2 linked regions of the Caenorhabditis elegans genome follow. The protein of the gene in region 2 purifies or fractionates together with the protein of the main gene of each other region. This does not show direct contact. Each region holds a gene or a part of one and is shown on either strand. Other genes may lie near its edges. The genes, in order: mrpl-39 and abu-13.

What was found.
Region 1: the proteins of abu-13 (region 2) and mrpl-39 fractionate together in Caenorhabditis elegans (co-fractionation; one large-scale study listed by BioGRID). This does not show direct contact.

Annotation. Positions count from the first base shown.
Region 1 is NC_003283.11:1,820,027-1,823,874, reverse strand, and holds mrpl-39 (Mitochondrial Ribosomal Protein, Large), read right to left. Parts: upstream 2,297-3,848; 5' UTR 2,286-2,296; coding exon 2,219-2,285; intron 1,819-2,218; exon of another isoform or gene 1,818-1,818; coding exon 1,635-1,817; intron 1,586-1,634; coding exon 1,278-1,585; intron 1,220-1,277; coding exon 890-1,219; 3' UTR 780-889; downstream 1-779. Other genes in the region: Y32G9B.1 (DUF148 domain-containing protein), read left to right, coding at 165-722; gly-7 (putative N-acetylgalactosaminyltransferase 7), read left to right, coding at 2,585-2,634, 2,683-2,758, 3,460-3,848.
Region 2 is NC_003281.10:6,941,374-6,947,994, reverse strand, and holds abu-13 (Activated in Blocked Unfolded protein response), read left to right. Parts: upstream 1-2,096; 5' UTR 2,097-2,347; coding exon 2,348-2,742; intron 2,743-3,282; coding exon 3,283-3,418; intron 3,419-3,452; exon of another isoform or gene 3,453-3,602; intron 3,603-4,571; coding exon 4,572-4,922; intron 4,923-4,970; coding exon 4,971-5,099; intron 5,100-5,373; coding exon 5,374-5,428; intron 5,429-5,477; coding exon 5,478-5,670; intron 5,671-5,774; coding exon 5,775-5,997; 3' UTR 5,998-6,107; downstream 6,108-6,621. Other genes in the region: CCR4-NOT transcription complex subunit let-711, read right to left, coding at 433-591, 663-809, 863-990, 1,134-1,230; F57B9.3 (RNA helicase), read right to left, coding at 6,259-6,468.

The sequences.
Region 1 (3,848 bases), on a different chromosome or scaffold from region 2:
TTGCCGAAAGCGTTTGAATTTACAGTTTTTCCACCAAATACCTAACGAGACCCAACGTTTAGGGGCGGAGCGCTTTCGATTAGCCGTGGAGCGCGATTGGGTCCGCATAATAAATTCGAAATCGCCTAGCGGCAAATTTAAAAATAAAAATAAAATATTTCCAGACAAACGCTTTCGACGGCAGCCCATTCATGCAAATCGCCCGTCGATTCCTTCAAGTTGGCACCGGCACCGGGACCCCAACTGAGGGAGGCAAAGCGGAGCCACTCCCGCAGATCGGAATCCGAGATTTTATGCCAAATACGGATAGTAACTTTGGCCTGCCACGTGGCAAAGGCTGCCTTCCATTTATATCGGAATTCATGCAAATCGCGTATGGAAAATGCCAGGATCAAGCCGACGAGAAGACGTTCGACGCGTGGGGTGAAGAACTTCGACGAGCAATTCTTCACGGAGAAATCGATTTGCTGAAAGCATCCCAGGAGACGTGCCGACGTGGTGCAGAACGGCAACAGTGTGATTCGCTGCGAGAAGCCGTTGCCACGTGTGATGTGATGGCAAGCTTGGAAATCGGAACACAATTGCAGAGAGCCATGAAGAGATGCGAAGAAGTGTCTGGAATGATGGATCAGTCGCCTGCAGCTGTGTTGGGACAGCTGAACAATTTGATTACCGGGGAGGTGGCGCAGGGATTTTTGAATAATTTCTTGAAGAATGGATAATTAGTCTCTGAAAGGGCACTGTGTTAGATTATTTTTTTGTTTTTGTACATACTTAATAAATTATTTAGAGCTTTATAATTTTTGTTCTTTTAATGAACAGAAAAAAGTAACAAAAAAGAAAAACAACAATCAGAAACTAGCTATAAAAAACTATTGAATTTCAATTCTCATGCATTTTTACTAAATTTCTGCACTGCATTCTTGGCGACGAGGCTCCAGGAGTATGATGAAGTCGGCTGTTTCATGGGAATCGACACTCCGCCGACGATCACACTCTTGCCAGATGATTTTGATCGGAAAATCGTGAAGCGGCCGATTTGACGAGTCGAATTGATGCATGGGCCATCTGTGGAGAACACTTGGCGACCGATTCGTACTAGATGATCGCCGTGGATTCCTGATGCTTCTGCTACACTCGTTGGCACTGCGATCACCTCGAATTGCTTCTCTTCGCGGATGTACGATTTACCGAATCGATTTATCGTGTTAAGTTCGTCCTGAAAATCAATTTTAAAAATTTTAATTAATTTTATTTCAAAAAAAAAAACTGCTCACCAAGGTGAAAACGTTCCCATTCAATCCCTTCACATCCACCGAAAAATATCCATTTTCAATATTTCCACGTGGGAATCTGAAATCCACGTCCACGTCCAGAGCTTCTTTCAGGAATGCAGCAGTAACTAGCGAACAAGATCTCCAGTAGGCATCATTCACTAAATTCACGTCCTCAGCAGAATCGAATCCAATTTTTCGAATCTCGGCTTGATCTTGAAGTGGTTGATTGACGCTGCTGAAGTAGGCGCCGCCAACGGATGGATGAACTTCCACGAGTACGGCGTCGTCGGCGAAGTGCTTGGAGATATCTGAAATTGGGGAAAATTAATTATTTATTCATAAAATCTGCTTTCTTACGATTAAAACAGTGAAATGATGTGGACACATTCCGATTCACAAGAACTGGCTGAGCCTTATCCTCAGTTCTCACTGAAACCACGACTTTGTCCACTTTTTTCAAGTCCCCGTACACTTGATGGCGAATGTGATCGAAGAACTCGGAGGAAAGAGTCGCTGCTGGAACGGAAGCCGGGACAGCGTCTGAAAATAATATTTTATAAGCATTTTTTATCGTTTTTTTCTTTGTTATAAATATTATTTTCAAGAAATTTGGGGTATTTAATGCAACTCACAGCCTCCATAATTATTGAACACCGTTTAAATTTTCTCTTTTTCAGCTTTTTATCAATTTTTTCGCAAATTCAAACGAAAAATATCATTTAAAAGCATCAAACGATCAGAAAGTGGGTAAAATCAACGATTTCTGTCAAGAAACAGCTTTTCCTCACAAAATTACATGTTTTACGAAACAGAAATCGCAAAACTGGCGGTTCAGATACATTTTCGATGTGTAGGATGCTTCTCAACAATTTTATACATTTAATAATTAAAAATTATTTCTATAGAAGCTAGAAAAAAAGCCTGAATAACTTTTCTCATACTTTCGGCCGATGCCACAGCAGTTGATGCGCTCCGGATTGCCAGCAGGCTTCTGACAGGTAGTTTCATGTTTTATTGACCTGAAAAATATGTTTTTTTAAGTGATTTAAAGCAAAAAACCATTAAAAAAAGAAATCAGAAAAATAAAAATAAAATCACCGGAAACCAAAGTGTGTGCGCAGATTGCGAAAACGCGTGCCGCGCCTTGCATGTGGGCGGAGTCGGGTATTTGCCAACACATTGACGATTTTTCTACGATTTTTCTACCGAATTTGTGCTTTTTTGACCGAAATGTTCAATTTTTAAGTCAATTTAACGTATTTTTTGCGTTTCAGAACGAAAACTTGATTAAACCAACCGGATCTGACATGATAATCGCCCGGAAAAAGCTGCAACTACAGAGATTATGGAGGCAAAGGTGAGGTTTTGTTTTTCTCTACTTTAAAATTAATAAATTTTGTTTCAGAGGATGCCGAGTGGCTACGTATATTTGCCTGGGAGTTTTAGTTTTATTTGGATTTGTCTACAATAGCAAGGGAAATGTAGGTTTTTTTGGAGTGCGCCTAATGGGGAAATTGCTGTAAAACATGCCTCTGGGGTCACAATGACCAAAAAAAATTCAAAAAAAGTCTCTAAATTTTATATGATTTTTTGAAAATTGGAAAAATCTCAATTTTCCCCCTAATAATTCCTATTTGAATTTCCGCCAATTGGATTCGTTCTATGGAGCGTGCTTGCATTATTTTAATTAATTAATTTCATTTTTTATCATTATTTCACTGATTTTCTTCATTATTTGTGTATTTTTATTGGAAAAAGTGAGAAAAATGCAAGATACATGCAAATTTTTCATTAAAAGTCACTGTAAATGCGTAAAACTGTGAAATATGATAATTTCAGGTTCAGTTTTACCCATTTTCAGTGATTTTTAATGAAAATATGCATTTCTGTCTCTTTTTCCGATAAAAATACACAAATAATAAAGAAAATCAGTGAAATAATGAGAAAAAATAAAATAAATTAATACAAATAATGGCGGAAATTCAAATAGGAATTAAGTGGAAAACTGAGATTTTTCCAATTTTCAAAAAATCATATAAAATCTAGAAAATTTTTTTGAATTTTTTTACTATGATATTCGGTTATTGTGACCCCATAGGCGTGTTTTAAAGCAATTTTCCCACTGAGCGTAGTCCACATTTCAGGGAATAGAAACAAAACTCAAAAACAAAATGAATTTCAGAGCATGTCATCTATCAAATCGGACAGTGCCGCTCAACAATTTGATGATTTAGACGATCTCACAAATAAGGAGCTCCCCGGTGGTCCTGATCCTAATACAATCTTCCGTGGCTCAGAACTAGGAAACTACGAGCCAAAAGAGCCGGAAATCCCATCAAATCAGCCCGGAGAGCACGGAAAACCTGTGCCAGTAACCGATGAAGAAGGAATGGCGGCAGGAAGAGCAGCGGAGAAGGAGTTCGGCTTCAATACCTACGTCTCCGATATGATCTCGATGAATCGAACTATTCCGGATATCAGGCCGGAAGAGTGCAAGCATTGGGATTATCCAGAAAAGCTGCCGACTGTTTCAGTGGTTGTTGTGTTCCACAATGAGGGATGGACTCCGTT
Region 2 (6,621 bases):
TTTGTATTTTCACTCGAAGAATCATACGTTGGGAAAAAGAAAAAATAGGAGAGAGTGCAAAATTGGGAAGAATTAAGGATCGAAAAAATTACTTGAAACTAAATATTTAGATTCAAGATTTTTATATCACTTTGAAAACCGTCTATGAATGGAAATTAGGTAAATACACTTTTTGAAAAATAAAAATAAATTAAATATGGTTTAAAAATTTTTTTCTAACTTGAACAGAAAATTATAAAAATTATAGAAAGTTTTTGAAAGGCTAAAGTATTTTTGGAACCTAGATGCTTATAAATTTACTTTTGTCGAGTCGAATTTTAACGTTTATCTTGGGTTGAATAAAGTTTCAACTTCCCAGAAAATGGAGTTTATATTATTTTCAAGGGGATAGCTTTAGTAGGAAATTTTGAAAATTTAAAAATAAAAACTCACTTTCTTGCACAAATGGGTCAATGTCTTGCTGGCAACCATATCATCCATGGTCTTCGTGTATGCATAAATCAAATCACAGAGAGCCGAAGTGAGACGTTGAGCTCCAAGAATCTCTATTCCGCTTCGATTAATTTGTGTAACTGTCGAATAGGAGAGTATCTAGAAACGAAATATTTTTGAATAAACACTATGTAAAGAAAGCTTCAAAACTCCAAAAAAAAAGCGCTTACAGTGTGAAAAAGACTAAGGGCAGCGTCTTCTTCAAGAAACTTTTTCGCCGGTGCTTCGATTTGACAGAAATTGAATGCAGAGAGAATGATATTGGCTGCATGATTTGGCAATGATGGTGATGAACGACCACAAATGACTACGAGACGCTGAAAAATAGCTTTTTCCTCCCAAAATTTTAGTTTTCATTCGATTATCCTACCTGAATCATGAACGAGTGAGGTTTCACACGATGAATACTGCTATGAGCAAGAAGATTGTCGATATAAGCACAAGAGCAACTATTCAACACGAATCCCATCGGCATTTTCGACAAAAGCGTGATGGTGCCTGCAAATTTTTCAAAGATTTCAACAACATTGTGAAATTTATAAAACAGCTTCAATAAATAATTTCCCTTCATTAAAAAAAATCATAAATCGTTTCTTGAAGAACAAATTACATATTTTTATATTAGCTTAAAAAATACTCACCTTTTTTGGAGATAGGTCTCTCCAAATTCTCTCGATTCCGAATCATATGATTTTCCTCCACACGAAAAACGGGGGCCAACCCTGAAGTTGAATGCATTTTCAACAACGAATGGGGCGAAAAATGAGGAAAAAACGAATTAAAAAGTTTGAAAACTTAAAACTCGCGCTAATTTTTGTGAAGCGCATTTTTTAAAGATCAAATAAAACTATGTGAAGAAACAGTTAAAAATATTGAAAGATTGGCGCCGTGCCAAGATCCGTTCCGTTTTAATTCTAGTTTGTAAACGACACTCCGAAATTCCGAGGCGCGTGTTGTTTAGTGTACAGCAGAATGGAGGATCGACAGCTGCAGCTGTGAGAAAATGAGCACCGATCCATGAAATGTGTCGAAAGTTATAAAAAAAATGTGCACCATAAATTTTATAACTTTATAGCAGTTGACCAAATCACAATCATACAAAAAACATGCGCATGTACTTCGAAAATGTTGAAAAATATCCGTTTTTAAGAAATTGTAATTTTTCCTGTGAACGTTTTATTATATTTCAATTTTGCTTCTTGGTTACCGTATTTTTGTGGCCACATTCTCAAAATTATTCATCTGGGAATATAATATTTGGATGACATATGCTCTGTTTTGAGTACTCCATTTTTTTTAAATTAAAACATATTTGGGCGTGTCGAGACAGGGTACTGTGAATCGGCAAAATTTCGTATCTGTGTAATAGTTTAACTTTGAATTGTGGATTATCTGAAATACTGTCACATTTGAATGCCTCCCCTGACAACTAATTCCCGTTCGATAAAAAATAAAGTACAATCCCATAAATCGTTCATCAGATGTCACCACCCTGTCAAACTTCTCGCTGTTTCAATTTCTAAGGCAATCCGTACGCACGGATTTTCCTCTTTTCTCTCTCTTGTTGCTTACAAAAGAAAAGAAAAGAAAAGATAAAAATCGTGGTTGTAGGGAAAACGATGGGTGAAGAAGGAGGCGGTGTTGATGGTTCTGGACATGGAACATAAACGATCTCATGTCTGACGCTCTTCGTCTATTCATACTATTTTCGGATGACAAAGCTAAAAACCCGTTCCGCACCAGTTCTCTGCGTCTCTAAAACATCCAGATCTTCTATTCTTTTCTCCAGAATCGCAAGAAAAAGAAGAAGCTGAACCTCAAATCTCAGTTCTTCTTCGATTTCAAAATTCCAGTGATGTGGCTCCTGATAGCTCTTCTGCCCTCTGTGGCTCTAGCGCAGAACACCTTTCAAAACACTATTTTTGACCTACCAGCTCAGCTAGGTGGTGAGCCAGTTGGTGTCGCTGCTCAAGCTCAGGGAGCCCCACTTTTTGTGCAAACCGCTGATCAGAAGCCACCAGCAGTTGCCGCGCCACAGCTTCCAAATGCTGTTCCAGTAGCACCACAAGCTGCTGTCACACCAGCTCCATTCACCTTCCCAACTCTTCCAACAGTTGCTCCATTCACTCTTCCAAGCCATCCAACATTGGCTCCATTTACCCTTCCAACTCATGCTCCATTCACATTCCCAACTCATCCACCATTGGTCTTCCCACCACCAAGTACTCCAGCTCCATTTGTTCCACCAAGGTTTGTGATTGAAATGACATTCGTAAGCGAGTTGCGCATAAGAAATGGAAAATTGGAAATTGTTCAGTTTGATCTTTTACCGATCAACAAAATAGTTTTTACTATTATTTCAAATAAAAAAACTTCATTTCCAAAAGCGAGATTTCCCATTCTAGGCTATTATTGTACTATGAGTGGAAATTAGTTTCAGGTTTCACAACTCATAATATACTTGTTAGTTCATTTCAATTTTACTTGTTAGTTCATTTCACTTGTTAGTTCATTTATACTTGTTTGTTCATTTCAACATTTAAAATGCCCAGTTTTTAGCGTTATCTTCAAAATATTCAAAACATCTGGTTTCTGTAGAAAAGCAGTACAAACCAGTATGCTACCTGAAAACGAACAGAAACATCTACTGTATTTCTAATTATAATTATAACTATAGTTGTGCACACCTTTTTTTTATTTGGCAACTTATTTGAGAAGTTTTAATTAACCAAATGCCGACAACTGTATAGATTAAAAGGTCTTCATGAAATTTAACATATTTTGTTTCAGCCCATACGCATTTGTTCCACAACAAGGATACCAACAACAGAACAACTTCCAACAATATTATGGATATCCACAACAACAGCAACAAGGAAATCAATATTATAACAATAATAATAATAATAACGGATACTACAATCAGGTAAGCAATTTAAACCGTTTCAGGTTTCGGTCACTTGCAAAAATGTTCTTCTACTGGTTAAAAAAAATATATATAGAGTGGGATGTGTGACATCCGTTTTGACATATAACCCTTTTTATACCATTTTGATGCTGTTTGTCAATTGATGTGGCAAACGGCATCAACTGCATCTGAGACTTTGCTCTGTAACTCTGAAACCTTAATGCTTTCCTGAATATTATTGCTCAGGTGAAAAGTCAAAGGCCCATTCACTTGATATGATTGTCCAAATTTTTAATTGGTAACGCCCTGAAAAATTAAATTTCCTTACAATATAATATTAAAAAGGATGCCCACATCCTTGAATTGCCTCATGCCATTTTTCGAATCAGACTATTTTAAAAGCAAGTTATGACAATTGCAATAATTTTCAAAATTCCAAAACAAAAAACAAGATCATCCATGTTTATTGAAATAATAGTGATGTTATTCCATCCGCGATCTGATAAGGTGTCCAGTGAAATTGGTTTTTGGTGTGATATTATGCTGGCAAATGCCGTTAGCATCGGTGTCTCATCATGATCCACAAAACACGTCCTGGAAGTGAAGAAGACAGGATAATTGAACTGGATAAATGTAGAAAAAAAACCGACAGAAAGGAAAACAGATATACATTGATGAATAAAATGAATAGAATGTTGTAGGAAGAAGTAAACAACTAATTTTGTAGTTGTAGTGATGAATACGAGATATAGCAGTAGTTGACATACCCTAGGATACCATGTTCGAGTTTCTTTAACTATAGTTATAGTTTATCAGTTTTTGGCAAATTTCAATTGATTTTTTTCGATTTCTATGTTTTGGAAATTTTTTGGATTTTTTCCATTGGAATTTAATGACGTTTACTAAGTTTTCGCTACACATAATTTTGGAAGTTAACACAAAAAAAGGTTTCTTGAATGAATTTCATATTCTAATTATAAAACATTTATGCGACATTGCTCTAAATTAAAAAAAAAATCCTAATTAGTCCGTAAATTTGGCACTTTACCAAAACTTTAGTTTTGAAGAATCTGAAAAATTTTTTAAGTCTTATTAGTTCCAATTTTACTTTTACGTTAAAAATGTACAGGAGAGATTTTGAAAAAAAAAGTCTAAAAAATTTTAATTTCAGCAACAACAGCAGTTCAACGGATACAACAACAACTACAACAATAACAACAATCAGCAGCAACAGTTCTACAATAATAATAATAATAACTACAACAATAACAATTACAATAATAATAACAACTACAATCAGCAACCGCAAGGTGCTCAACAACCACAGCAACAAGTCCAACAACAAGTTCAACAGCCTCAGCAACCTGTCCAGCAACCTCAACCAACTCCAATTCGTCCACCACAGCCACAACGTTCCGGCCAACAGCCAGTGCAATCTTTCGAGTCACATACCCAAATCGTGCAACCAGTGAGAGCTGTTCAAGCTAATGCTCAACTTGTTCAGCCAGTCATTCGGCCAGCTGTAAGCTTTTTGTTTTCTTATGAAACTCACAAGTATGATATTTTTCAGGCCAGCGCAGTTGCCACCGCCGTAGTTGATACCGATTCATCTGCCAAGAAGGCCACAGAATTTAACAAAGCTAATGGAATTGAACAACCAAAGCCAGCTCATGCTGAAAAGGCTTCTCTTGATGCTGAGGTAAGGTTAATTTATTGTTTTCAATTAAAGTTCCTTGATTTTTGGTTTGGTTATCTTTAGTGTCATTAAAACATTGTCAGCTTTGCAGTGTAGTTTTACATTTGCGAAAGTTATTGGATTGAAGTATTTTTATTTAGACAGTTATGTTACTGAACTTGGCAAATATCAGCTCTAAATTCTCTAATTTTAAAGAAGCCCAAAAGTTCTGTAATTTCCAAATTAGATAAAGTTGCTTTAAATTTTCCGTAAATATTTTAAATGTTTAATACTTCAGGTGGATGCCAATGTTGACCGTCATTTGTGGTTCTCTGCGGATTATGATGTGAAGCGTAAGTTTTCAAAGTTTTCAGTGCAAAAGCCCCACTATTTTCTTTACAGAATGTCGCAAGGGACTCAACGGAATCGGAGTTAGATTCCAAAAGAAGTTCCCATCATATCTACAAAAGGGAGGAAAGGATAGAGAACTCGCCGAGCTCGTCGAGCAACGACTTTTGGAATGTGAGAGAAAATCATCGGCTTCTCACTGGGACAAGGTTGACACACTTTTGCAAAAGATTAGTTTGACAAACAGGTTGGTTTTCAGAACATATGTTGCTTTGAAAAATCTAGAAATCTCGAAATGTTTAGCCCAATTTTAAACTGAAAATATTTTAAAAGAAGTATTAACTTTTTCAGCGAAGAGGGAGAATGCCGTGCAGGACTTATTCAAGAGCGTATCTCATGTGTTAACCTTCTGAAATACGCGTGCCAATTCGTCGACTCTTCTTATCATTTCAAGCTTGTTCCAGCAAGAATTACTATTCAAGAAGCTCGTCAAGCTGAGAGTGGAGCTGAAAAGTGCAGACAAGTAATCAGAATTGTGAAGCAGCGCCTAGAGTCTGGAGCTGTAACTCTGTAAATGTGAGAAGTAAAATTGGAAAGATTATTGTGTAAATAGGCGCCTAATTTGAAATTTATTTATTTTTGGAATTTTGGTGTGCAATAAAAATAATAAATAATTTATTTATATTTTTGTCGGTTTAAAACAATTTTTTTAGCATTGAAAGCAAACTGTGCAAAAAGCGTTTTTGAAGAAAAATTGGAAAAGAAAATGTCTGAAAATTGACAGAGGCTTTCTAGAAATTCTCAGGTTCAGTAATTCTCTGAACTTGGGAAAATATCAGTTTTCATCGAGATATTCAAGGAATGATTCTGGCATCTCTTCGATTCGAGTCGAATAGTGATTTTCAATTTTCTTGAGATCACTAATATCGTTTTCTGTGAAAAAACTGATGGGAAGTCCTTTCGAACCAAAATTTCCTTGTCTTCCATTTCGTAACATGTAGTTCTCCATATTTCCAGATACATCGTAGTTGATAATGAGTGATTTCTAAAATTCATTTTTTAATTGAATTCACATTCATGATTTTTCAACTTGATCCAATTTACCAAGAAGGTGATTTTCCAGACGCAAAATGATTTATTGAAAGTGGAATTCAAAATTTTTTTTTTTATTGATACTGTTCAGAATAACTTTTCAATG